2 linked regions of the Canis lupus familiaris genome follow. The protein of the gene in region 1 binds, or shares a complex with, the protein of each later gene. Links are inferred from orthologs where the notes say so. Each region holds a gene or a part of one and is shown in the gene's direction. Other genes may lie near its edges.

The links.
Region 2: the proteins of CIC (region 1) and YWHAQ are in contact, whole or in part, in a crystal structure (PDB 6KZG), measured with the Homo sapiens proteins. The link is inferred for Canis lupus familiaris from reciprocal best matches to the Homo sapiens genes CIC and YWHAQ. Residues at the interface, in NP_001291744.1 of Homo sapiens: Arg1207, Ser1208, Met1209, Ser1210, Glu1211, Thr1212, Gly1213, Thr1214; in NP_006817.1 of Homo sapiens: Lys49, Arg56, Lys120, Arg127, Tyr128, Gly169, Leu172, Asn173, Val176, Tyr179, Glu180, Leu216, Ile217, Leu220, Asp223, Asn224, Leu227, Trp228.

What each region holds. Positions count from the first base shown.
Region 1 is NC_049222.1:112,834,554-112,838,939, reverse strand, and holds the start of CIC (protein capicua homolog), read left to right. Parts: upstream 1-1,275; 5' UTR 1,276-1,424; intron 1,425-2,061; exon of another isoform or gene 2,062-2,210; intron 2,211-4,386. UniProt on the Homo sapiens protein: Transcriptional repressor which plays a role in development of the central nervous system (CNS). In concert with ATXN1 and ATXN1L, involved in brain development.
Region 2 is NC_049238.1:6,670,468-6,674,363, reverse strand, and holds part of YWHAQ (14-3-3 protein theta), read left to right. Parts: intron 1-1,182; coding exon 1,183-1,306; intron 1,307-3,677; coding exon 3,678-3,841; intron 3,842-3,896. UniProt on the Homo sapiens protein: Adapter protein implicated in the regulation of a large spectrum of both general and specialized signaling pathways. Binds to a large number of partners, usually by recognition of a phosphoserine or phosphothreonine motif.

The sequences.
Region 1 (4,386 bases):
CCGTGGACAGTATAATGTCTCCTATCCATGACAAAGTTAACAAGGACAGTGCACACCTCCATGTATGGGGAGCCTTCTGCAGCGGCTGTGAACACTTTTCATGACAGTGTAAACCACTCTCCAAGGGTCTACCTGAGTAGGCAATGGGAACTCTTCTGATACTATAAGCTTCCCTCAGACCCAGCATCTACTTAACATACAGTCTAAACTCAAAACCTGCTCGATACTTAAGTGCACACTCTTCTGGAACGTGATCAAAATAGCACAAAATAGCATAAAATAGCATGGTTATGAAATGGCATATGTAAGTCATAATACAATAGCGTAAGTAATAGTGTAAGATTCCTTCTCAGTGTGAACTTGTAGACAGTGAAATTTCTCCCTCTCTCAAAGCGAAATCTTCTGTGGACGGTGGATAACATGAATCTCTTCAAACTCAGTGAACCCCAATGGACAACTGATATTTCTTCCTAGCCCCGGGATGAACTGGCCCCACAGTGGGAATGTTGCACAGCATGCACCTGCGATAGGTTGGGTGCGTTTTCTTCACAACTGGGATGAATCCTGTGTGCATCCTCGGAACCCATCACAGGCAGCGGAAGGCTCCCCTAAGGCCAGTGTTCACTGTTCCCCATTACCCTCTATCTAGGGCAAATCCAACGGATTTGGAGAATGGATGCACTGCAGACGGCTTCACACCTGGCATAAACTCCGTGTCCGGGCTGCAGGAATCTACTACTGACAAGGCATATGTCTCCCCTCCCTACCCTGTGTGAACTCCACCCCCCCCACCCGAGACCTTAAAAAAAAAATCTCGCTCCCGCCAAGCGCGAACACCCACAAAGTAGCTCTCCACAGAATGTAGCGAGAAGGGAATGTGGTGTGAAGCCCCATGGAGCGCCGCATATCCCCATCCCATGCCCCGACAAGCCGAGGGGAGCTGTCAGAAAACTGCACCGCCCTAAATGTCAAAGTCTTGGAAGGGGGGACTTTTCCCCAGGGTCCCCGAGCCCCAGGCCGCGCGCGTTCACTCCACTGCAGCGCGCGCCACCCTACACGCGCACGTTCTCTCCCCTCCCGGTGGCAACAGGGCTTTCCGCGGGGCCGCGCCGGACTTTCTGAAGCTGTTGATTGGTCATAGTCCCGGCCACCCTACAGCCAATCAAGCGGGGGAAAGGTGACATCACTCGTTCTCCTCCCCTCCCCCCCACCCCAAACTTCCCTACTCCCGGCTACCGACAGCAACAACCACGTGGGGGAGGGGTAACAGAGTAGAACCCGGTGAGGTCATTGCGCCGCCCCGGCCGCTGCTGATTGGCTGCGGGGCTTGCGGGTGGCGGTTGGCTGCTCCTCGCACCTCCCCCTCGTGCCGCTACAGCCGCTACTGAGAGGAGCCACTGGCGACGCCAGAGCCGGGAATCCGGGTGAGTTGGGGCCCTGGGTCTAAGATGCTCCCGGTGTGCAGGGAGACTTACAGGAACTGCCCTGTCCGACTTTTTCTCCTCGCCCGAGTTCTTTGGTGCTACAGCACTCTGTCACATGGGAGTTGTAGTCTGTTATGTACTGTCGACTATGGGCCGGAGACGTCAGAAGACTACCATTCCCAGCAGGAATTGCGACTAGCCGGTCAACAAACGCTCAGGCCACGCCTTCTCAGTCCGCTTATTGGACAGCCTATCCCTTAGCCCTTCCTTCTTGCACTTCATTGGCTACTGTCCCTAACAGAGGCTGGGTTCCGGCCTAGAGTGCAGGGCGAGTGGGTACTGTATTCGTCATTCTGCACTAGGACGGCCTGCAATTGGTCAAGGCTGATGCCCATCACTTGTTGTGGGGCAGGGCCCTAGGCAGATCAGGCGGTCGTAGGCTCAGGTTGGTGTCGGTCCCAGAGGGAGGCCGGTCTTGGACTTTGGCCCCTCCCCCTTGCGCTGCCGGGTGGGCGGGATTGGTCGTGGCGAATGTCGCTCGTCGTGGAGAGGCGGAGCCGACCAGGCTGCGAACATCTATTGGTCTAGGACGGCGCCGGTCAGCGGGGTTGTGGCCGGTGATTGGCTGGCTGCTCCAGCTGTTGCAGGTCCATTCACCATTTTGTGTGTTGGAGTAAAAAAAAAAAGGGAGAATCGAGAGGGAGAGCCGGAGGGGGGGCGGGGAGGGACCGGACCGGACCGAGCCGGGGCCACGGCCCCCCGCCCCGAAACCCCGCCGAGCCCGAGGTGAGGGGCGGGGCCAGGGCTGACACGGGCAGGGGGGATTTGGGGTGCTGGGGGCCGAGAGGGGACAGGTGGCAGGGACGGGGAGGGGGTACAGGGGGAAAAAAGGTGGGTTGGATGGTGGGAAGGGGGGATAGAGTGGATGAAGTGGTGGGGAGGAAGAGAGACAGAAAAGGGGTGACGGAGAGGGGATGGTGGGCAGAGAATGGGTAACAGGAATGGAGGGGTGACAGGACTAGATCAGGGTGACAGGGAGAGGGAGGGGACAGAGTTGGAGGGGTGACAAGGAGAGGTGATGGAGAGAAAAGGTGACAGGTCCGGAGATGGCTGACAGGAGAGTGACTGGGAGGAAGAGGTGACAGAGATAGATGAGGGTGACAAGGATGGGGTGATTGAGGAGGGGGCCTAGGGCCTGTGAGGAGAGAGGTAGAGGTGGTGACAGGATGGGAGAGAGAGTGGCAGAGAAGCTGGTGCCAGCAGGGCTGATGGGACCAGAGGGCATGAGACCCTGAAGAACCAGGGCCTGGGCCGGCCTGGGCTTCCAGGAGTTACTGCTTAGATTCTGAAGGAGGTGAGGGCCCACAGGGCCTTGGGTGGGAGTTCTCCAAAGTGGGGTGAACAGGGAGAGAGTAGGCCCCAGGGGAAAGAAAAAGGCTTGGCTTTTGGGGTGAAGAGGCAGGATCAGGTGGCAGGGTCCAGGGGTGCCAGGCGGTATGGTTGTAGGCCCTGGGTGGGGTATGCAAAGGTTTGTGTTTGGGCAGGACTGGGGCCGGATCTCAGTCCCCAGGATGGTGGCCCAGCGGGTCAGTGGGGAGAAGGTGGTGGCAGCTTCCCAACTCCTGGGCACTTGGATGCCTGCCCCAGTGTGAGAAGCCCCGGACCCTACAGGCTCTGCCTGTGGGGACCCCAGGATTGGTCCAGAGAAGGAGCAGCCTGAGATTGCAGGGTCCACTGGAGGAGCAGGCCCCAAGTAGGAGAACACGAGATCAGGGGTTCCTGGGGGAGTTTGCACACTGAGTTGGGGGTGTCTCAGATTGCGTTTGGGTTATGGTCCCAGGCACCCCCACCCTCCCAGAGGCCCCCTTTTGGCCTCTCAGGTTCTCTTAGTCACTTTAGAGTAAAGTTTTTTCCCTTTTCTTTTCTCAGGGCAGCTTGAAAGGGGGCGGGCAGTAATGACTGTTCAGGAAGTGGGTGAGGTTGGCCTGCTGGGCTTGCCCTGCTTTCTTTGACCTTCTCCCACTTACCCCCACCTGGAGCCGGAGGGCATATTTGGGGGCCCCAGGGGGCCTGGCCAGCTCAGCCACCCTGCCAGAGGCAGCCCAGTCAGGGCGGGGATGTGTGCAGGCCAGAAGGGGGGCTGGGCTTGCTGGTATCACGCTGGGTGCTGTGGGGGAGGGGCAGGCTCCCATCCAGTGGGACAGCGAAACCCTGGGGTGTAGCTCTGTGTCCCACTGTGTGATGACGTGTGTGTGCCTCTGTGTGTGTTTTTGTGCGCGTGCGTGTGCTCATGCACGGCCCCGTGGCAGTACTGGGTATAAGCTCTTGCCCCAGACGTGCCCCTGCCTGCTCCCTGCCAGGATCTGGGGAGATGGCTATACCTGGCAGGCCTGGGGTGCAGAGAAGAGTGGGCAGCCGTCCCTTAGGACTTCCAGCTGCCCACTCCTTCCCACAATGTCTGGCCATGCCAGGTGGCCCAGAGGGGTTGGGGGTGGGGGTGGAGAGAGGCTCACATCACAGCCCAGTCACCTCCTTTTCTGTGACTGTGTTCCTGTGCATGTGTGTGTATGAGTGTGTGTGCTCTCTGGACAGTGACAGTGCAAGGAAGCGTGCCCTCTGGATCATGTGACAGGCGGCACACTGAAATGGTTAGGAGCACAGACTCTGGAGCAGCCAGATTGCCTGGGTTCAGACCCTAGCTCTGCCATTTCCTAGCTGGATGAATTTGAGCAAGTTGCTTGATGTCTCTGTACCTCAGTTTCCTCAACTAGGGCTGTTGGTCGCACCTGCCTCTCAGGGCTGTTGTCAGGATCAAATGGGTTAATAAAATCAAGTTCGGCCCAGGGCTTGGCACAAAGTCAGTGCTCCATAGGCATGAACGGTTACTGCATTTTGTGTCCCCCTGGGCAGTTGCACACACTTGCTGTGGCCTCTGTAGAGGGAGCAGATATATGTAAGTGTC
Region 2 (3,896 bases), on another chromosome or scaffold:
TTGATAGTTCAAGAAGATCTCTATCCTATTTGTCTTCTGTGACTTTTTTTTTTTTTTTTAAGAAGATTTTCTTTTTAAGTAATATCTACACCCAGTGCAGGGGCTGGAACTCAAAACCCTGAGTTCAAGAGTTGCATGCCCCACTGAGCCAGCCAGACACCCCCTCTTCTGTGACTTTTTATTCTTGTGGCACATCTTGTATAAATCCCTCAGTTTGAGAAGCGCTACTAGCTCATTGGATCCAAGGGTACATTTCTTTGAATAAAATAGGGAATGAAGTCGTACTTAGTTACTAACCCAATATTTTTTCAAATAATTCTATTCAGTAGACATGACTGTCATTGTTTCTAAAGTACTTTCTCTTGATCCCTGTATTTACCCTTATTTTGGATGAGCAGTAGTCTGTAAGAGACACTGAACAGCCAGCCCTGCTCTGAGCCATGCTGACTTACTTGTTCTGTGATTATATTCTTCATACTTGATGTCTTAAACATTTTGTTTCCCTTCTTTAAAATGATTGTGCCTGGCTGGCTCAGTCAGTAGAGCACGTGACTCTTGATTTGGGGGTTATGAGTTTGAGGCCCACGTTGAGTGCAGAGATAACTTATACACACACAAACACACAAACATGTAAAACTAAAAAAAAGCTGATTGCACATGCACATTTCTGAACTGATACATTCCTACTGTTCCTTCTTAACAAGTCAGAAATATCCCTTCAGGGAAATCCTGTTTAGCTAGTGGCCACCTCTAGCACAGCCAGATGCTCTCTCTGTGGTGCTACTATCCTAGATAAAGGATAAACAAGATAATGTTTCTGTATCTTACTTAAGACTGTGAGCTCCTTGAGGGCAAGAACTTTGTGTTTTCTTTATATCCCCTCTGGCCAAATACAGTGCCTGGCACCCAGCCAGTACCAAGAAATGCTTACTTGAATGAATGGATGAGTGAATAGACAAGCTCTTTATATTTAGTGTTTGATGTAACCTAGCTTTATTAGAAACTATGACTTGCTATAGGCCAAAGCATTCAACTGATGACAACTACATGACCCCTGCTCTCAGTCCATGCTTCAAGTCCAAGGTGGAATGGTTGTAGTTACTGTGGTAGTCCTTCATTGTGCTTACCTGTAATAAAATAGCTTTTTATTGGTACCTAATACTTTATCTTCCTTCTTTTCAGGAATTGTTGGATAAGTATTTAATAGCCAACGCAACTAATCCAGAGAGTAAGGTCTTCTATCTGAAAATGAAGGGAGATTATTTTCGGTACCTTGCTGAAGTTGCGTGTGGTGATGATCGAAAACGTAAGTATGTTTGGTTTATAGGTAAAGTTAAAAAAGGAAGGGAGGATAAGTGGGACACTGTGACAGTAGTCGCTATGTAATCTCCAGGTCCTCTGTAACTTTTTAAAAAATCTTGGAATCTACATACGATAAAATTAATGTAATGTGACCTTAATGTTCTAAAAAATGAAAATAGCCATGAATTTACATAATGTACTGTTTTTGAAAAATTAAACTCAAATTCTGGTGATAATCTGCTAAGATATTATTTAAAAGGCTTAATCTTGGGCGCCTGGGTGGCTCAGTCATTCAGCTTCCTACTCTTGATCTCAGCTCAGATCTGGATCTTTACAGTTGTGAGTTCAGGTCCTATGCTGGGCTCCACACTCAGTGTGAAAAATAATAATAATAAAGAAAAAATAAGAGAGGCTTATTATTACTCTTTTATACTTTAGAGTTTGGTGAAGCATATTTTTTAGCCCCCTAGTTATTTGCATATGCTTTGAGAGTTTGTGCTGTTACATGGCCTTTTGTGTCATCGTACCTTGAAACTTACTGGAAATTACAAAGAGAATATAGAAACAGCATGTTATGCTTTTTCTGTTTGACAATTTATTAACTACCTATTTTGAAGGATCATTACATTGACTACCAATACTTACAAGACCAAATTTCTGAGGAAGAGAGGTGAGTGAGAGTTTTGCTGGTATATAGTTTGTCATAGAAAATATAGATCTGGGAAAGAGAATAAATGAATTGCTAGAGTTGATTGTAAAAAGAAAATCAAAGCAATTTATTACTAGTGGACTTAGCCTCCTGGAGTATTAGTAGCTGAGTACAAGTCAGGTCCTATTAAATTTTGTGTATGTGCCTGCTATCATATTTATCAAATTCTAGTTAGAATTTTCACCCAATTCCTTATTTCTGGTAGGTTTATTAATTTGTTTTTAATTTTGCCCCATCCAAAAAGAGTGTACTTTTTCAAGTAGTTACTGTGGCTTCCTACCCTCAAAGAGGTACTAACTGAAAGTGGAACAGTTTTACCACCCCAAATATCAGTGTAATTGAAGATACAAAGAGAAAACTATTGCATCCTACTGTAACAATTTGTATACTAAACTTATTGATGTATAATTTCTGTTGTCATAAAGATAAGCAAAGCTGAAAGTAACAGATATTTGCAAGTCACAAGGATATCTTTGGGAGACTGGGACATAGCCCCAGCATTAATCTTATTTAACCCTTTCTAGCTTCCTGGCATTTCTATCCCTATCCATAGAATACTCCGGTAGACTGGGACTCATAGTCTGTATTTACAGCTTAGGAGCTGAGACCCCTTACTGCTACTCATTACAGTACTTCCTTAAATGCCAAACAGCAAGAACTCCTTACTATGTGAGGGCTCTACCAGCTATATTTAGATTAATAAGTGTGCCATTTCTGAAGAAGGAAAAATCCTTATATTCAGGCCATAAAAAGGTTAACTTTACATTTCTATTAGAGGAGTATTTCTAAAGCTGTAATGGGCCAGTGGTCTCATTGAGAAAACCTACCTACTCTTTTGAAAGCATGGCTATAGTCAGATTAGAATTGGTAACAATCACTGAACAGCTTTTTTCAGGAAGGTAACCTTTTTATTAGGCCAGTAATCAATCTCTTGTCAGAGCAGATTTTATTTTGTATTTTGACACTTTTATATTGCCTTTTACATAATACATCTTGATACCAAGGATTAGTATTGTTTTTACAAATAAGTCACAAAAAAAGAGATTTTGGTGGTATGATCTTTGTAAAGTGTTTTCATGATTTTGAGAAGAGATAGCCAAAAATTTTTTCTAGCTTTATTGAAGTATTATTGACGTGTATCGGTGAAATTATTTTTAATTGCTGCATTTCCAATTAGTAAAATTAAAAGATACGGAAAAAGAAAATTGTTTGAGTCACAGATCTGGAAAAATCCAATTGCACTATCTCATATTGGGTTTTTTAAAGCTGATTATAAGCAAGCAACATGGGACGCCTGGGTAGCTCAGCAGTTGAGCATCTGCCTTCAGCTCAGGGCGTGATCCTGGGTCCAGGGATCAAGTCCCACATTGGGCTCCCTGCAGGGAGCCTGCTTCTCCTTCTTCCTGTGTGTCTGCCTCTTTCTCTGTCTCTCATGAATAAATAAATAAAATCTTTAAAAAAATAAAAAAAGCAACATTATAAACTAGTTTCTCCATAAGCTGGTATGAGGTAATGTTTTCAGTTTGCTACTATGGTTTTAAAGGAAGGCCACAGAGAAAAATCCAGCTCTGCATGAGGTAGTAGCATAAGTTAAAGGTTAATATGCTGTATACTTGATGGATATTTTCAGTATTGTGCTTCTTTTGTCTCTCCCCCCCCCTCACAGAAACGATAGATAATTCCCAAGGAGCTTACCAAGAGGCTTTTGATATAAGCAAGAAAGAGATGCAACCTACACACCCCATTCGCCTGGGGCTGGCTCTTAACTTTTCTGTATTTTACTACGAGATCCTTAATAACCCAGAGCTTGCCTGCACTCTGGCTAAAACAGTAAGTTTCGGGTCATTCTTATATGTTCTTACTCATATTGATAGGGTCATTGTCA